Rattus norvegicus: one gene and its partner. The main gene of each other region encodes a partner of the protein of the gene in region 2 in a complex. Links are inferred from orthologs where the notes say so. Each region holds a gene or a part of one and is shown on either strand. Other genes may lie near its edges.

What was found.
Region 1: Polr3c (region 2) and Polr3g share a complex: the UniProt entries of both Homo sapiens proteins name them as parts of the RNA polymerase III complex. The link is inferred for Rattus norvegicus from reciprocal best matches to the Homo sapiens genes POLR3C and POLR3G.

The regions. Positions count from the first base shown.
Region 1 is NC_086020.1:13,718,754-13,723,129, forward strand, and holds the start of Polr3g (DNA-directed RNA polymerase III subunit RPC7), read right to left. Parts: upstream 3,035-4,376; 5' UTR 2,385-3,034; intron 1-2,384. Other genes in the region: acyl-coenzyme A thioesterase MBLAC2, read left to right, coding at 3,035-3,488. UniProt on the Homo sapiens protein: DNA-dependent RNA polymerase catalyzes the transcription of DNA into RNA using the four ribonucleoside triphosphates as substrates.
Region 2 is NC_086020.1:186,947,873-186,952,362, forward strand, and holds the start of Polr3c (DNA-directed RNA polymerase III subunit RPC3), read right to left. Parts: upstream 3,087-4,490; 5' UTR 2,975-3,086; exon of another isoform or gene 2,742-2,974; coding exon of another isoform or gene 2,728-2,741; exon of another isoform or gene 2,705-2,727; intron 1,571-2,704; coding exon of another isoform or gene 1,552-1,570; coding exon 1,405-1,551; intron 30-1,404; exon of another isoform or gene 1-29. Other genes in the region: E3 ubiquitin-protein ligase RNF115, read left to right, coding at 3,087-3,542. UniProt on the Homo sapiens protein: DNA-dependent RNA polymerase catalyzes the transcription of DNA into RNA using the four ribonucleoside triphosphates as substrates.

The DNA of each region.
Region 1 (4,376 bases), about 170 Mb from region 2:
GGCCGCAGGAAGGTCTTTTCAATTTTCTACCTATATTTCACTTCTGGAAGGATTGTGTCTAAAGTCATTGACAACCTATTTTTTTAAAGCCCAGATCAATGAGGGAAATTGGCAACTGCAAAGAGTTGAAAATCTTAAACTGTGTATGGGTGTGTGCAGAGTAATGCAGGTGCCCGTGGAGGTTAGAAGAGGATGTCAGATCTCCTGGATCTAAGGTCAACGGTGCTTGTGAGCCACTTGGTGTGGTTGTTAGGAACTGAACTCTGATCCCCTACAAGAGTAACATGAGCTCTTTGTTGCTAAGCCATCTTTCCAGCCCCCAAATCTGAAATTTAAAATGCAACATGGACAAGTTCGCACTGCCCCTTCCAGCTCAGAACGCTGCCTCAAAATTCCCATTTGGAATCTGTTCCAAGAGATTTAAAAATGGGCGTTATTCAAGAGACCAAAGTCTATCCTAACCATCTCCAAACACAACCACCTGGAAAATGGTGAGTTCATCTCTACAATTCTTCCTAGATCTAAAATGTCATGAGTTATGATTGTGACTTAAATGTATCATCCTCGTGTACACACAACCTTACACATTTAAGGAGATGAGTAAATGTTCAACTAGCTGGAGGTCAGGGGAGACAGCAAAAGCCAGGTCACAGTATCTCTCTGAAGAATGACCATTAGCTGTGTGTTCCCTAGTCTTCTCCTTTCTTCTGCATTAGCTCAGGCCTTAGCATTGCTCATCTGACCCTTTGAAACATGCTAGACATTTTATGTCCAGATTCCTATCATTCTCAACCAAACTCTTGTCAATTTAATAGAAGGCAAATCTTTACACTTCCGATATACTGTTCTCTTCAGTTTAACAAAGCTCAGGACATTTAACTTCTGCTTCTCACCAAGTAACTGACTGTTGGTTTTCTGCCTCCCCAGGGAGAGTCTTTGACCATCCACTGGCGTCTTTATGAAGCCCTAACCCTAACCCTACCTCTGGGTCAAACCATCCTCTCTGCTGGAAATAGAGAGGTGAACAAAATAATGTCTCTGCGCTTATGGAGTTCACGGACAGGAGAACCTGTCAGAGCCTGACAGATGGTGTGAAAGTGAAGCAGGAACCAGGCCAGATAAACTAGTCATTTGGGACTATCTGAGCATAAATTTAATTAAGATGAGAAACAGAGTCATATTGAAAAGAATAAAAGAGTCATCAGAAACTGTAGGTCCAAAGGCCTCTAGAGCTAGGCACAAGCTGGATAATCATCACTGAATTATTTCTGAGCTCATGACCACAGAACAACACTGTGCCATCTTACCGAGTGCCTCCCTTCTGCCGCAGAAGCATAAAGTAAAGAGGGCACTGTGTTTCTCTGTGGAGAACACCTTCTTAGGCAGAACCCAATTTTTGCATTCATGATGCATTAGTTAACAAGTATTTGTGTACAAGTGTCAGCTTCCTCAGATTCTTGAGAACTCAAATCAGACTTTTCTTTAAACAGTTTTCTGCTTGTCACACATCATTTAGTTCAGGCACTAGTGCTAAGAATGGTCCCAATTGCATAATTGAATAATAGATGAGATTAGCAAAATACTCAAAAGAGCAGCGACCTGCTCCCACACCCACTGGAGAGTTTGGGAGTGTAGGAAGAATGCATCTCTCCCTCCAGGAAAGACTTATGTGCCACAGGAAGGATTTTGCTAATTATCTTTGATAATGCTGTCCCCGTGGGTCTCTTTATAATTTCTGAAGGTTAGTCAAATTCTCAAGGGAATTTCTGAATCTGAAAGAGATGCATCGGTAGCTAATGGTTGGGGTGCAAGCACAGGGACTTGATACTGACAGTGGGGGTGATTTCGGTTGCTTGCAAGGCCACACCCAGTGATTATCCACTTTCCCTGTCCCCTCAAAGTGATCTCTGCCTTGCCTTAAGCTCTAACCTTTTCTGCTCTCTTCAAAGAGCAAGGAAACACCCAGAACTATGACGGGCATTTAGGATCTCCTTAAAGAAAAATTCTATCACCAGCCCCTCTCCCCACTATCAAAGGTGCCAACAGTTAAGAAAAAAGAAGCGATGATAAGTATGCCCTTATTAGCCAAACTGCCGCCAAACTTTACATGAACAAAAACCACAGTCCCCGGATTTGCAAAGTCTTCTCTTGTAAAAGGATAAACTTCCAGCGTGAGGCTGGAAGATCTGGCTACCAAAACTTTTAAAGGTTTGGAAGCCGGCAGCAGCAGGCTTTGGGAGGTAGGGGTACAGCCCAAAGTCACTCCAGAGGGGCTTTGATGAATTTTGGCTCCAGATTATCGGACCACCACGTTCTCCACGTGCCCCATCAACTCCCTTCTACCCTCTTCACCTCCAGCCCAGTCCGGGATAGTTTCCAGTTACCTTCTCACCAAGTCTCGAGGCTTGGGCACACTGTGCAGCGATGGTGGCAGGAAAGCTGGCAGTCGCGCCAGCAAGGAGCAGCAGATTCCACCTCCGGAACAGCGAGAACCTCACCGCACGCGGCTCCGGCTCAGGGTAGCGCACTGGAAGCCCCGCCCACTCTACGAGGCCACACCCCCGGAAAGGAGCTTTTTAGCCCTTGGCAGGCGCCGTAGTCAACCTCCAACTGGCTCGGCCTCACTCTGGCCTCCCGCTACGAGTGCGCAGCGCCCGCGGCCCGTGTGGGGGCGGTCCTGTCTCTTCCCACGCATCCCTCCAGGCCTCTGCAGTCGGAACCCCGAGCAGGGCAGCATTGCCCGGTGTCTCCGCCCCGCTTCAGCGGCCTGTGTCACCGCCTTGGTGCTGCAGCTGCAGAAGCTGCGGCAGCTGGGGTGCAGTCTTTGCGCTCTGCGGCTTGGACGGGAGGGCGAGGAACAGGCGATCTGGGCAGTGTCGCTGCGTCCTATCCGCGCTCCCTTCCGCATCCCCGCCCCTCGATCGCGCCTCCTCCGGAGCTGAGAGTAGCTCTTCGCTCACTGCAGCAGCGGCGAGTCCTGGACTGCCTGTGGGAGGCACACCCACCTTGCCCGGCCGCACCCCTGCGCATCGGCATGTCGGCACTCGAGTGGTATGCCCACAAGTCTCTGGGCGATGGCATCTTCTGGATTCAAGAACGGTTCTACGAGTCAGGCAACCGGGCCAACATCTGGCTGGTGCGCGGCTCGGAGCAGGACGTGGTGATCGACACGGGCCTGGGGCTACGCAGCCTCCCGGAGTACCTCTACTCCTCCGGCCTCTTGCAGGATTGTGGTGCCAAAGAGGATGCAGGACGTCGGCCGCTGCTGGCCGTGGCCACCCACGTGCACTTTGATCACTCCGGCGGGCTCTATCAGTTCGACCAGGTGGCTGTGCACCGCGCCGAAGCCGAGGCCCTGGCTCGCGGGGACAACTTTGAGACCGTGACCTGGCTCTCTGACAGCGAGGTGGTGCGGGCGCCCAGCCCTGGCTGGAGGGCCAGGCAATTCCGAGTGCAGGCAGTGCAACCCACCCTCATTCTGCAGGATGGTAATAGGTCCCGGGGGCGCGCGCTGTCTCTGAGGGAGGGGCTTGGCGAGCGTGTACAGCTTGTTGCAGACCTCCGTGGCACTGTTGGGCTACCGTGCGGGAATACTCTGACTCACCCTTTGCTGCGTGAAAGCCAGCTTGGGCAGAGCCTAGGCCCACTCAGTCTTCTCTGCCAGGAGATGCGCGCTGCTACTGTGTGGCTGTTTATTTGAAAGCTCACACCATCCCCAGTCAGTCGGCTACGGTAGTTACACTGCAGAGACTTGTGACTGGAGATATTCCATTCTTTTCCCAAGTACCAGTTGAACATTTCCAGCTTTTGTAACGAGTAGGCTTTTAAGATATGGCACCTTGTGGAGAGTGTTAGGCTCTGTGCTCTGAAAACTGCTGACTTCTGCTGCCTGCGCACTGCTCACCGCAGAGTGCCTCAGTCTCACCTGTAGACTTAGAGAGCTTTCGTCCATCCTTACCTTTCAGATGGATTTGTTTGCTTATTGCCTCTCAAAAAGAAAAAAGGCTTGATGGTGGACATGAACGTAGAATTATGACAGCTATCTGGTCTGGATGAGAGCGAGGCCTAAGAACGATCAATAAGGGAGTTGTTTCCCATGGATAAAGTGTGTGCATTAATTAATGCAGACTTCATTCTCTTGGTCCTAAGAAATTGATAAAATGGAGCAAGATAGAGTAGGGTCCCAATCCCCTTCTCCCCATGCAGGACTGCACTAATTGAACTGGTTAGCGACAACAGCAATACTTGGTATATCAATTTTATATTTTTTGCCTTAGGATTTATTTATTTACATCCCAAAAGCTACTCCCCCCTCCTGCTCCCTCCCTCACAGAGACTCCCTCATCCCGTCTCCCCTTCTGGGAGGGTGGAGGCCC
Region 2 (4,490 bases):
GGGCGGGGACTGAATTTGTCTTGACTGCACATAGAATCTTACTTTCTCTTCGGGTTGGCGTAGCTAATGTCAGTGCAGGAAATCAAGAGGATTCTTTGTTATGATGTTCTTATCATGCCCAATCCATCTTCTAGCTTTCTGTTTCTGAATCAGGGTCTCATGGAGCCCAGGGTGGCCTGATATTTGTTATATAGCTGAGGTGACCTTGAACTTCTGAGCCCCTCTCTCAAGTGCTGGGATCATGAACATAAATCACCATGCCCAGTTCTATGTTAGTGTTGGAGCTCAAGCCAGGACATCCTACATGCTATGCGGTGTAGCTGGCCTCTACTACTTTGTGGGTTCTTCTTTTTCCCACCCACTCCCATCCCCATCCCAGTTTCACCCCTAACACTACATAAGAGAGAAACAAGGAGGAATTAGGGAACCCCCTGAATTTAATTTCTTTCATCTCTTCTTTGACCACACAATTAGTAAACCACAATTTCCCTGACTAACAACCACTGACCCCACCTATCGGGGGCTAGCATTTATTATCCTCTGAAAAGTTCCCAGAATCCCAGACATTGCACAGTGACAGAGACTATCAATAGCTGGCAAAACCATGCCTCTGCTAGAACACAAGGTAAGGCTGCTGCGACAGTCCGAAGCAGCCCCATATCCACACACCTGGGACTAAAACAAAAAAAAGTATTCTTAGATATTTCTGTGTGTGTGTGTGTTTTTTTTTTTTTGGTTCTTTTTTTGGGGGTGGGGACCGAACCCAGGGCTTTGCGCTTCCTAGGCAAGCGTTCTACCAATGAGCTAAATCTCCAACCCCTGTGTTTTGTTTTAAAGATATATTTATTATGTAAACAGCATTCTGCCTGCAGACCAGAAGAGGGCACCAGATCCCATTATAGATGGTTATGAGCTACCATGTTGTTGCTGGGAATTGAACTCAGGACCTCTGGAAGAGCAGTCAGTGCTCTTAACCTCTGAGTCAGCTCTCCAGCCCTAGTTCTGTGTTTTTAAGGAAACCACAATCCCCAAATTGTCAATACAATGTAGTCACTGTGCCAACCGAGCTCCATCCTTGACTAGGATGGCGACAGAAACCTTTCACCTCACAGTTTACTGTTTCTATCTTTTCTATTCCTTAAAGGCAGTACTCGATCTGCAGACTTACTGTAAATAAATGAGCATGGCATGGGAACAGCAAAGATGAGCTAGGGACACCATGAACAGCAGTACACTGGGGCCTAAGTACAATACCACACCCCCACCCCACCCACAGTGCTTTTGACCAGAGGGCAGGCTTTCTCTGTTTATACTGCCTAAGTAAAGGAGCACTACAGTTCAAAGGTGCTTGAAGGAAATGAATTGAAGAAGTTCAAGAGAGCAAACTCTCTTATCTAAACATACCTGGTCCAGTGATGCTTTTGTGTCATGGGCAATTACTCTAAGTGGCTGGCTCCCAGTTCTGATTAGGTGGACTCCAATTTTTTCTACAATCTCACCAAAATGCTCTTGTAGCAACAAAGAGCACAGTTTAATTTCTGCTTGAGTCATTGCACTTGGAGCCTTAGAACTAGGAAAGAACAACAATATAAATTCACATATTTTTTTTCTAGAGGGTAACGGCAATATACATCAAAACTTTTATATTAAGGCATATTTATCGTAATACTTATAAGTGAGGATCCTCTGTTCCAAGGATATAGTAAAAATCATGCCATGAGTTCTCTTCACAATACTGGCATTGACAAACTAAAACAATCTAGCATCTATCAATAAATTATAGTATAACCTTAAATGAGTACACAATGCCAACATTTAAAATGACTTTGTACAATATAACTACCATAAGATATCCTAATGTGTTGTTATTTAGTAATTGGAATGGTCAGATATGACGGTGTACACTGCCTGTAATTCTAGCACGCAGGAAGCCAAAACCAAAGAATCAATAGTTCCAGGACAACCTGGGGCACAAAGTAAGTTCAAAGCCAGCCTATGTTATATAGCAAGACTCTGGTGGATGAGACACCCTCCCACCAAAACAAAGGACTGGAAAACCAGACATCAATTTTTTTTCTAAAGCCAGGTATGGTGGTGCATGCCTATAGTTCCAGCACTTAGGAGGTGGAAGTAGGAGGGTCAGGAGTTCAAGGTTACATATTATTGAGTTCAAAACCAGCCTGGCTACATGAGATCCTGTCTCAATATATATATCCATATATCCATACACACACACACACACACACACACACACACATATATATTATCCTCCTCTATACATATACCATTTATTTAAACGGGAGTATATGTGATTCCAATAATCTTTAAAGACTGGATTCATCTGGGTGTGGTGGCTAACATCTGTAATCCCAGCACTAAAGCTAGAAGATTGCCATAAACTCAAGACCAGTCTGGGCTACATAATAAATACCAAGCAAACCTGGTCCAGAGTGAGACCTCTAAAAGTAAAGGGGGAGGGGGAGTGTAAATGACTTCGCAATCTGTCACAGAAACAAAGAACTAAGGTTCATGACTCAGTGGGGGTACAAAGTATCATTCCCAAGCCATAAACCATGATTTAGAAAGAGAAAGTAAAAATGAGCTTCTCAACAGGGTATTTTAATTAGGAGAAGAAGTTATGCTCCATTTTACATCCTGACGAATGGGACACAAGCAGAAATGGAAGTATTGATTTATAAATTACCTCCCTATATCACAAGCTGCTACCTGCCATTATTCATCTCTTTCTTCAACTCTTCAGAACCTAAATTTTTTTCCCTCTTGCCACAGGGTCGCACAGAAGACTATTTCACTTATCCACACGTCTTTGGAGAAACATCCTTAGACCAGTTGCCATCCTTGAAAACATTTCCAAGGCGCCTGGCTCCTCTTGCCTTCATGGAAGTTTCTGTTCCGGACTTTGTTTCTTAGCCCTGAGTCAGGGCCTCCTCATTCCGGCAGCTTTTTCACTAACCTCAGGGTCAGTGCTAATTTAGAAGCTCCAAAAGTTATCCTCCCGAGGACAGTAGCCTAAGATCAGGAGCAGCCCATAGCCCCTTCTTAGAAGTAGCGCACCATCCAGGCGGATGCGGAAGGGTCAGAGCACAGACCGCTCTAGCCGACCGTGTCGGTGGTTTCCGGAGACGCTCTTTCTTTCCTCTCGTTGGAAGGCTGGAGGACCGGCCAGAGGCTGTCTGAGGTGCCGGCGGGCGGGCTCTCTGCCTTTGGTGCCGGGAGGCGGGCCTCGGGTCGCGCGGCCGCTGGCGGGCGGGCCTCTCGGGGCCGGGCGGACTCACGTGACCCTTGCGGGCCTTGGAGCGGCGGGCCGCCCAGAGGAGGCGGCGACGGCGGCGGCGGCGGCGGCGACCGCAGCCCAGGAGGTAGCGGCCTGGGGAGGGACCGCCGGCCGCCCTTTCGGACATCCTCCGCAGAGGCGAAAAATGGCGGAGGCCTCGGCGGCGGGGGCGGACGCGGGCTCCGCTGTCGCCGCGCACCGTTTCTTCTGCCACTTTTGTAAGGGCGAGGTCAATCCCAAACTACCGGTAAGAGCCCCGTGTGTCCCGCGCTCGGGCGCCGCGTAGGTCCCTGGCCCCTAAGGCTGGAAACCGGGTCTTAAGCTGCCCGCACACCCGTGATTCCCTTGACACCGGTGTCCTCGGTACCTGCTGCCTGCTGTCTTGGGTACTGGCAGCAAACCCTAGGCATCAGGGCCAGCGTCCTGCCTAGCCCACATTTCCGCGGCGTCTCCAGTCTGCCCCTCATTTCGCTTCCGCTCTTTAATACCACCCCCATCTTTTTGTCTTCCTCGGTGAATTCACAGCCAAAACTGCGCCTAATTTGCTTGCAGTCCTCTTCCTTGTCTTCTTTTCGTGATGACCTATCCCCCTGTACTCTTTCCGTTTTTGCGTCTCACCTAGTCTTATTTTTCCTCCCACTTCTCAACCAGATCCTCCCCCTTCTGCATCCTCAGTGAGACAAAATGCTGAGGACTCCTTAGTAGGTTTTGTTGAAGTACAGAAAGAGAAGGTTTGGAAGGTATCAGGGAAGAGGGAGATTTTGCTCTTCACTGGTTTTTGGGCTCTTGTGAAAGTGAAAATAGCAGTGTACCAATGACTTGCAGACTGCGCTCCCTGTTGCTATTGAAGGAAATGGCTTTGGGAAGAAGGTGGAACGTACTGTTTCAACTTAGTTTATTTTGGATATCACGTTGCCAGTGTCTCTAGTTCCACTTTCCTAGCCCACCCCCTCGATTTTATTTTTCTGTTCAGGAAAACAAAAAAAGGACAGAATGTTGGGACTGCTTTCTCTGATATAAAATTGGTTCTGCCAGGCTGTCAGCCAATAGAGAATAGGTAGGAATATGCTTTGAGAAGAAATGGCTTCTGCAGCATGCTAGCCAGTGCCAGCGCCTCCAGTTATGTTTTTTTTTTTTTTTTTTTCTTGACGGGTGGGTGAGATTCTTCTTAAAATGAGTGGTTATGTCATAATTT